Macaca mulatta: one gene and its partner. The protein of the gene in region 2 purifies or fractionates together with the protein of the main gene of each other region. This does not show direct contact. Links are inferred from orthologs where the notes say so. Each region holds a gene or a part of one and is shown on either strand. Other genes may lie near its edges. The genes, in order: ATP6V1A and ATP5F1C.

What was found.
Region 1: the proteins of ATP5F1C (region 2) and ATP6V1A fractionate together in Homo sapiens (co-fractionation; 3 studies listed by BioGRID). This does not show direct contact. The link is inferred for Macaca mulatta from reciprocal best matches to the Homo sapiens genes ATP5F1C and ATP6V1A.

What each region holds. Positions count from the first base shown.
Region 1 is NC_133407.1:169,928,277-169,932,094, forward strand, and holds part of ATP6V1A (V-type proton ATPase catalytic subunit A), read right to left. Parts: intron 3,336-3,818; coding exon 3,132-3,335; intron 1-3,131. UniProt on the Homo sapiens protein: Catalytic subunit of the V1 complex of vacuolar(H+)-ATPase (V-ATPase), a multisubunit enzyme composed of a peripheral complex (V1) that hydrolyzes ATP and a membrane integral complex (V0) that translocates protons.
Region 2 is NC_133414.1:9,288,752-9,293,017, reverse strand, and holds the start of ATP5F1C (ATP synthase F(1) complex subunit gamma, mitochondrial), read right to left. Parts: upstream 3,087-4,266; 5' UTR 3,058-3,086; coding exon 3,002-3,057; intron 1-3,001. Other genes in the region: KIN (DNA/RNA-binding protein KIN17), read left to right, coding at 3,332-3,445.

The DNA of each region.
Region 1 (3,818 bases), on a different chromosome or scaffold from region 2:
TTCCCCACCACCACAAACATCCACTTAAGGACCTGTTTGAGAATTTCTTTGGGGATAAATATCCAGAAACAGAATTGCTAGGTCCCAGGGTATGTAAGTCAGTCCTATCAGACTGGTCTCCACAATGGCAGCACCAGACAATCCGCCCACCAGTTCCTCTGTCTCCACAACACTGGCAATATTTGACATTTTAACTAGTATAATGTGGTGTTCTCAGTGTTGTTTGAGCAATTCTCCATAGGTCTTAGTCTTTTGGGATTCCTTTTCTATAGTCAGTCTGTTCTTTCTTTTGGCCACATTTCTGTTGAAGTTCTAGTCTTCTTATTCATTTACAGAAGATCTTTGTACATTTTAGACATTAGTCCATCGGTGTTTTCTTTAATTTTTTAAAAAATATTTTTAAAATTAAAATTTTTCTAAACATTTTTATCTTATTATGTATTTACTTATTTTTTAATAGAGATAGGGTCTCACTCTGTCACCCAGGATGGAGTGCAGTGGCGAGATATCGCTTCACTGTAGTCTCAACCTCCTGAGCTCAAGTGATCCTCCCACCTCAGCTTCCCAAGTAGCTGGGACTACCGGCCTGCACCACCACACCCAGCTGATTTTTATATTTTTTATAGAGACAAGGTCTCGTCATGTTGCCCAGGCTGGTCTTGAACTCCTGGAGTCAAGCCATCCACTCACCTCGGCCTCCCAAAATGCTGGGATTACAGGTGTGAGTCACAATGCCCAGCCAGTCCATGAGTTTTAGATGTCACAAACTTCCCTCCCAATGTCACTGGTCTGTTACCCTTAACCAGGATAGGCCTTTGCTAAACATAAATGCTTACTTTTCATGTAATCAAAAAACTCTTTTTATTGTTTTAAGGCTAATGTTAAGGGGTTTATTTTAGAAGTCCTTTTCCAACTCTAGATCACAAAGATATTTTCTTAATATTTGTTTTCTATTAAACTGAAAGTCTTACCTTTCCCATGTAAATTGTGAATCTATCTGGATTCTAACTTTGTATGTGGAATTAGAGAACAATCCAATTTTGTTTTTTTCCTCCAAATAGTAAACAGTTTTCTATCACAGACTAAAACAATATATCTTCTCCTCACTTGATTTTTGGTACCATCTTTGCATTATCAATGGTTTATACAATCATAAGTCTATCTCTATTCTGTTCCACTGGTCTGCTGGTCTGTTATTTTACCAATACCACACTATCTTTATTATTATGGTTTTGTATTTCCCCTTATCCAATAGGGGAAAAGCTCACACTTTACTGTTCTTATTTAAGGTTGTGAATCTTTGTGAAATCAAATGAATTTTAGATTGGCGTTACATTGAATTTACAGATTAAAGAGAAATGGCTTTTTTTTTTTTGAGATGGAGTCTTATTCTGTCGCCCAGGCTAGAGTGCAGTGGTGCGATTTTGGCTTACTGCAGCCTCCGCCTCCCAGGTTCAAGCAATTCTCCTGCCTCAGCCTCCCAAGTAGCTGAGATTACAGGTGCCCGCCACCATGCCCAGCTAATTTTTTGTATTTTTAGTAGAGATGGGCCAGGCTGGTCTTAAACTCCTGACCTCGTGATCTGCCCGCCTCAGCCTCCCAAAGTGCTGAGATTACAGGTGTGAGCCACCACGCCTGGCTGAGAAGTGGCATCTTTTTAATAAGTCATTCCATCCAAGAGCATGGACTGTTTCTATTTTCAGATCATCTTCTGTTTCATTTATTAGTTTAAAAGTGGTTTTCATAGAAGAAATACATATTTCTGGTTAGTTCCTACACTCTAGTTTTTGTTGCTATTGAGAACATCTTATTTTTACTTTTATTTTCTAGTTGGTATTGCTAGTGTAGAGAAATTCTCTTGATTTGTGTTTATCTTGAATCATAACCCCCCAGTGAACTCTTACTTCTGTTTCTCTGTTAATTCTGTTATATTTCTAATATAAGAGCACATTATCTACAAACAATGACATTGTTATCTCTTTCTTTACAATTTTTCTTTTTTCTCTTCTTACACCATTGGTTATAATCTCTGGTATTCGACTGAACACAGTGATGAGATTAGGCATGCTTGTCTTAACCCCAGTTTTTAAATGAAATGCATCTGAAATTTCTCCAGTAAGTAAAGTGGTTTCCCTAGGTCTTAGTATATTACTTTCAACACATTAAGGAAGTTCTCTTCCATTCCTTGTTTGCTGTTTCTAAAAATTGTAATAAACTTCAAATATTTTTCTACATTAATAGAGATATCCTTTTCCGATTATTACTTTAGTGAATTACAATAGATCTTCTGTGTCTAATATGGACATTCCTGAGATAAACTTGCTTATGATGTATCATTTTGTTGTCTTTAATATCCTACTGGACCTCATACTCTAATATTTAATATTTTATTAAGTATCTACATTCATACCTACATTCATCAACAATATTAGCCTATATTTTTCCTTTCTTGTATTGCCTTTATCTGGTTTTACAGTTCTTCTTGTTTCTTGCTTCTCTTATTGGGCAGATAAGAGAATATTTTTATTCTACAAATAATAAGTAGTAATACATGCTACAATGTTAGCTATCTCCAAATATTAACCTTTTTTGGAATAAATTAGGAGGTGACTTTATAACATATAATAAAAAGAACAAAACCAGACAGAGAACTCTGAGTACTAACTAGCACTGCATACTACCTGAGAAGTCTTCATTCTGGCATTTAATTTGCCTAAATTTAATTACACCACCTTTCCTTGAAGAATCAAGATACAGACACAAGAATGTAAGTCACCTGGTTAAGGCCACATAGCTAATTAATGGAGGAACTATAAGCCAATCCTTCTGGTACCTAGCCCTAGCATTCCTACAAAAATGTATGTTAACAAATCCTAACTCTACCACCTCTAATTTGGTTGGTGATGGGTATATTCCATTTCAAGATAAAAGTAAATCAAGTGTTTCTTTCTCACCTACAATATACCCAAGAACCATGCTAAGTAGTGTAATGAATTAAAAATTTCAATTAAAAATATTTAATAAATATTTATTTTGCTAGGCAAGAATCTGCAATATCTAAGGCTCTATCTGTTCTTGTAACACCCCAGTGTAACCCACAGATCTATTTTCCATGGAATTTAACAACTCACCTTTCCGACAAGCTGTACAATTTCTGCCAGGTCTTCTTCTTCCTGCAGAATTTCCTTAGCTTTGGTCCTCAGAGGAACGAACTCTGTGAAGTGTTTGTCATAGTATTCATCCAAGGCACGCATATACTTGCTGTAGCTGATGAGCCAATTGACAGAGGGGAAATGCTTACGCTGAGCTAGTTTCTTATCTAAGCCCCAGAACACCTGATTAAAAAAAAAACAAAACAAAACAGTAATTTTTCTTAAAAAACAAAGTTAAAAAAATTCTGAAGCATATTTGTCCTAACCATGCAATTTTTTTTTTCTTTGAGACAGTCTTACTCTATCACCCAGGCTGGAGTGCAGTGGCATGATCTCCGCTCACTACAGCCTCTCCCTCCTGGGTTCAAACAATTCTCCTGACTCAGCTTCACAAGTAGCTGGGATTACAGGCATGCGCCATCAGGCCTGGCTAATTTTCGTATTTTTAGTAGAGATGGGGTTTCACCACGTTGGCCAGGTTTATCTCGAACTCCTGACCTCATGTGATCCTCGGCCTGCCAAAGTGCTGGAATTACAGGCATGAGCCACCATGCCTGGCCCCTAAATATGCAATTCTATAATTCACTGGTCAAATTATACATCGTTTTAGTATATACTAAGTAAAATTAAGACAGAATAAAATTTGCAGAAAATGACAATAATCTA
Region 2 (4,266 bases):
GTGCAGTGGCACGATCTCAGCTCACTGCAACCTCCGCTTCCCGGGTTCAAGCGATTCTCCTGTCTCAGGCTCCCGAGTAGCTGGGATTTCAGGCATGTACCAACACATCTGGCTAATTTGTGTGTTTTTAGTAGAGACAGGGTTTCACCATGTTGGCCAGTATGGTCTCTATCTCTTGGCCTTGTGATCCTCCCGCCTCGGCCTTTCAAAGTGCTGGGATTACAGGCGTGAGCCACTGCGCCTGACCCGCGACTGCATCTTCTTTTCCTCTTTTGGCAAGTCCAAGCAATCTTTCTTACATTACATTTGATGTAGAAACTGTACTTAAACTCTTCATTTATGTAATGATATACAGCATTTGGATCCCTATCAGCATTTCTCCCACTGTCCTACATGCTTTGCAAATACTCTAATCCTCACACTAACCCACTGAATTGTGCACTTTTATTGCATATATTTGACAGATGAGGAACTGGTGGGACAGACACTAAGTAACCCGCCCAAGGTCACAGAGCTGCTAAGTGGCAATCAGAATTCAATCCCTGCCATCTGAATGGAGCCCTTCAGGGCTGGCTACAGAGTCTCTCTTTTTATACAGTACTACACTCTGCTGCCTAACATTTTTTACATTTACTAGTAAATATCTGCCCTTATGGTCTCTGATGACAATTTGTCTTTTCTCTCCTGAAATGCCATCTCCTTTTCGGTGTATGTAGTTTATGACTACTGACACGCTATTATAGAACAGTTCCATTTTAGAGACTACTGAACTCTAAGACATAGAAATAAGTTTTTCCCAGATTTGAAGACAGTAAAATCAGGGACTCTTTCTCTCCAAATTTTTATTTCCATTTTCTTAAATGCTACTTTAAAAAAAAAAAGGTTTAATTTTCAAAAAGGGTATTTTACCGATACCCTAACAACTATTAAAATAACCACTGCGAATTTAAGTAAGACTAATGTTTAATTTATGTTAGTATGGTAACCTCTCTGAAAACGAAAACTAAAACAATAACAAATTGTACTTTAAAAAACTTCCAGTAATCGAGACAGAAGCGTGGAAATATGCCTCTTCATGGTTCGTTAAGGCAAAGGTATTTTTTTCCCCTTCCAAATTAATTCTGTGGAGTGGTTTTAATTTCTGAATTCGAAAGGCAGTTATAATTAACGGGAAGAGAAATGGCAGAAGAGGCAAGAAAGACATTAAGCACCAGGAGTGAAGGAATAAGTGAAAAGAAGAGGACAGAATATGCTTCCATAGTGGAACACTGTTGATTGATGACTTAAAACCACTATTCCAAAGGGATTAAGGTCAGGATTAGGACCTTTATATGCTGATTGAGGTTCCGATTTCAGCTCCTAACAGTGGTTGTCTCCAACTGAGAGCGCTAATTATTTAAAACGATCCTTTACTAAAAGAGCTTCAAATTATCTTACGAGTGCTTTTAAAAAAGGTATTTCTAAATTTTTTTGTAAAATATTGTCTTTGCTTAAGAAACTCTTCCCATTTTTTTAAAGATCGACTTAGAAACTAAACTAAGGTTCTAAAAATACTGACAGATAACATTAATGCGTGGCAAGAAGGTAAGGACAGGAGAGCTGATGTTCGCAGAGCACCACTGCATGCCAGGCACTGTTCCAGGAAGCTGACGGAGACCTTATCTATTTGTTCACCATCACATTTTGGCACCTTCCAAGTACCACCGGGTGCAGTGCAAGCACTCAGCTAACGTCTGCTGAGTGGTTAGTTAACAAGTGGGGCAATCTATACAACTCAGAATCCAACTACAGTGACCTTTTAATTCCCATGAATTTATTTTTCCGTATTAGAGAAAAAAAATCTGACTTCTAAGGCCAAGCTACCAAAAATTCTATGTGGCTAATTCACATCAGATTTCATTCTGAAAATCTCGTATATTACTATCAGTTATTTGCTTAATGCAAAACGTATTTATTTCAATTAATGTTTTATGGACGCTTCAATATAAATTAGGATGCAAAAAACTGTAGCGCCTTAGAAATCCTCCATACTGTTTAGAGCAGGGAATTGCTACCACACAGCCTATAATCCCCTTAGCAGCGTGTCTGAAATTCTTCCAGATTCTGTCAAGATTCAAAACTCAACAGCACGACCCACAAACCAACTTTTACCTGCCCATTCCCAGGCCTTCTAATATGCATTCCCCCAGCCCAGGTCCCCCCACCTGGAACTAATGTTTAAAATTCTCGAGGCTCGTGGCACCATTTAGCTGCACCTCAGTTAACAAATACCACTTAAAGCCCACCGACCTCCTCCCCCTAGGACCTTGGGGCAATTTCATGACCTTGCAGGGTTATGGTGTCAGCAAGTGGTTTCAAGGCAGTGCTAGGTGTCCTTCCCTTCCCCGCCCTCAGACAGATCTATACCGTCCCTTCTGCACCAAGACCACCCTCAGGGGCATCTAGGATGTTCGCCTTTGCTGTTCCAGCACCCAGCAAAGCGTCTGCAACACGGGAGGTGCTCGACGGCCGCGCTCTCTGACTCGATCGAATCTTAAAGGGTCACTCTGTCCAGCACTGGAGGGTTTCAAAGGGCGTCAAGGACAAAAAGCACAACTTAACATTTCCCCTGGGCTATCGCTCAGGCTCCCGACACCTCGCGGGCCCTGAGACTGGGGGCCTGGCTCGCAGTGGAAGCTCAGGAAGTGTTGATTAGCTGAGGGAACTCAAGACCGCCCAGACGTCAATTTGGACTCAGGCCGCAGTCCCGAGGTCCCAGGTGGCCCTCGGCCTCAGGGGACCGGGCGGAACCTTGCTCCGCCGGAGCCGGGCCCTGCGCACGCCTCGCCGGCCTCAGAGCCACTTTCTGCAGCCCCCGCTACCCGGCGCTTCCGAGGGGCCAGGGGCCCAGTCAGGCCCTGCGACCCCAGATCTGCTCCTGCGCCCATCTCCTCCTCCCTGCCCCGTGCCCAAGCTCTTCCATCCCTTGCGGTCCTGCCGATCTTCCCGCAAGTTGCCATACCATTGAGGCTGCAAGGTCCAGGCCGACAGCCCAGCTACGCCCGCGCGAGAGAACATGGTAGCCCCAGCCCTGCTGAAGGTCGGTCAGGCAGGCCTCAGCGCGCATGCGCAGAAGCCTCCTAGCGCGTCCCTCCCACCTCGCTCTCTTCTTCAGTCTCGTTTCCTCGCGCTACGGCGAGAGGAGCCTCGCGAGCGTTGCAACCCAGTCTTCCCAGGACCCACCTCTTTCCGCCTCTCAGCTGGGATTTGTCCCGCCCACCGCCGCCAGCCAAGTTCCGTTTCCGGCTTGCTGGGCACTAGGGTCCAGAAAGTGACCGCTGCCGTGGTCGCCATGGGGAAGTCGGATTTTCTTACTCCCAAGGCTATCGCCAACAGGATCAAGTCCAAGGGCCTGCAGAAGCTACGCTGGTATTGCCAGATGTGCCAGAAGCAGTGCCGGGACGAGGTGAGTGGGCTCGGAGTGGCCCCGTCTTCCCAGGAGGGCCCCTGGGAATCCAGGATCAGGTCCTGGACGCGGGACTGAGGGCGCGGGGCCGGGGCTCTTGGGATCCGGGTCGTGAGGCTTCTGAGGTCTGCACTGGGCGAGTCAACTACTCAGCGCACTAGAGCCGTCCCTCCCCGCAGCCCGCGGGGCCAGCGGGCAGCCTGTGTTCTGCGACCCCTCATTCCTCCCTAGTTCCGATCCCCACCATCAAAGAAACGACATCAGAAAAGGTTTTGCAGCCCTCACAGGGGCGGGGATACTGCAATACTAGATGCCCGGGCAATGCCAGTAACAGTCATCAGCTCTGACTTGACTTGGCTCTTAAGAGAAACAGGGTGGTTAGGATTCACACCTCTTTTGGGATCAGTTGAAAAAGGAGAGCTAAGCTCTTCCACACAACTCATCTAGCAAGCATTTATTGAGAACCTACACTGTACCGGGCACTGAATAATACTGTGGTTAAGATTATGGATTTATCTGGTTTATGGATATATCAGACTGTCAAAATTTAAAGTCAAGCTGGGCCACTTACCAACCATGTGGTCTTGGTCAAGTTATTTACTTATATTCTCCTTTACTTATCTCTAAAGAGGGAATAATAATTTCACCTACTTGTAGGATTGTCGTTGAGTTTTAAATGAGTGAAGTATATATAGAGTGGCTCAAGGAGTCTGGGCAGATCTTGAAAAGCCTTATATGCTGCACTATGGAATTTACGCTTTTCCCCATTAAAGAGGTGGTTGATGGAATGCTGTGCAGGCTAGCGATGTGATCATAATTTT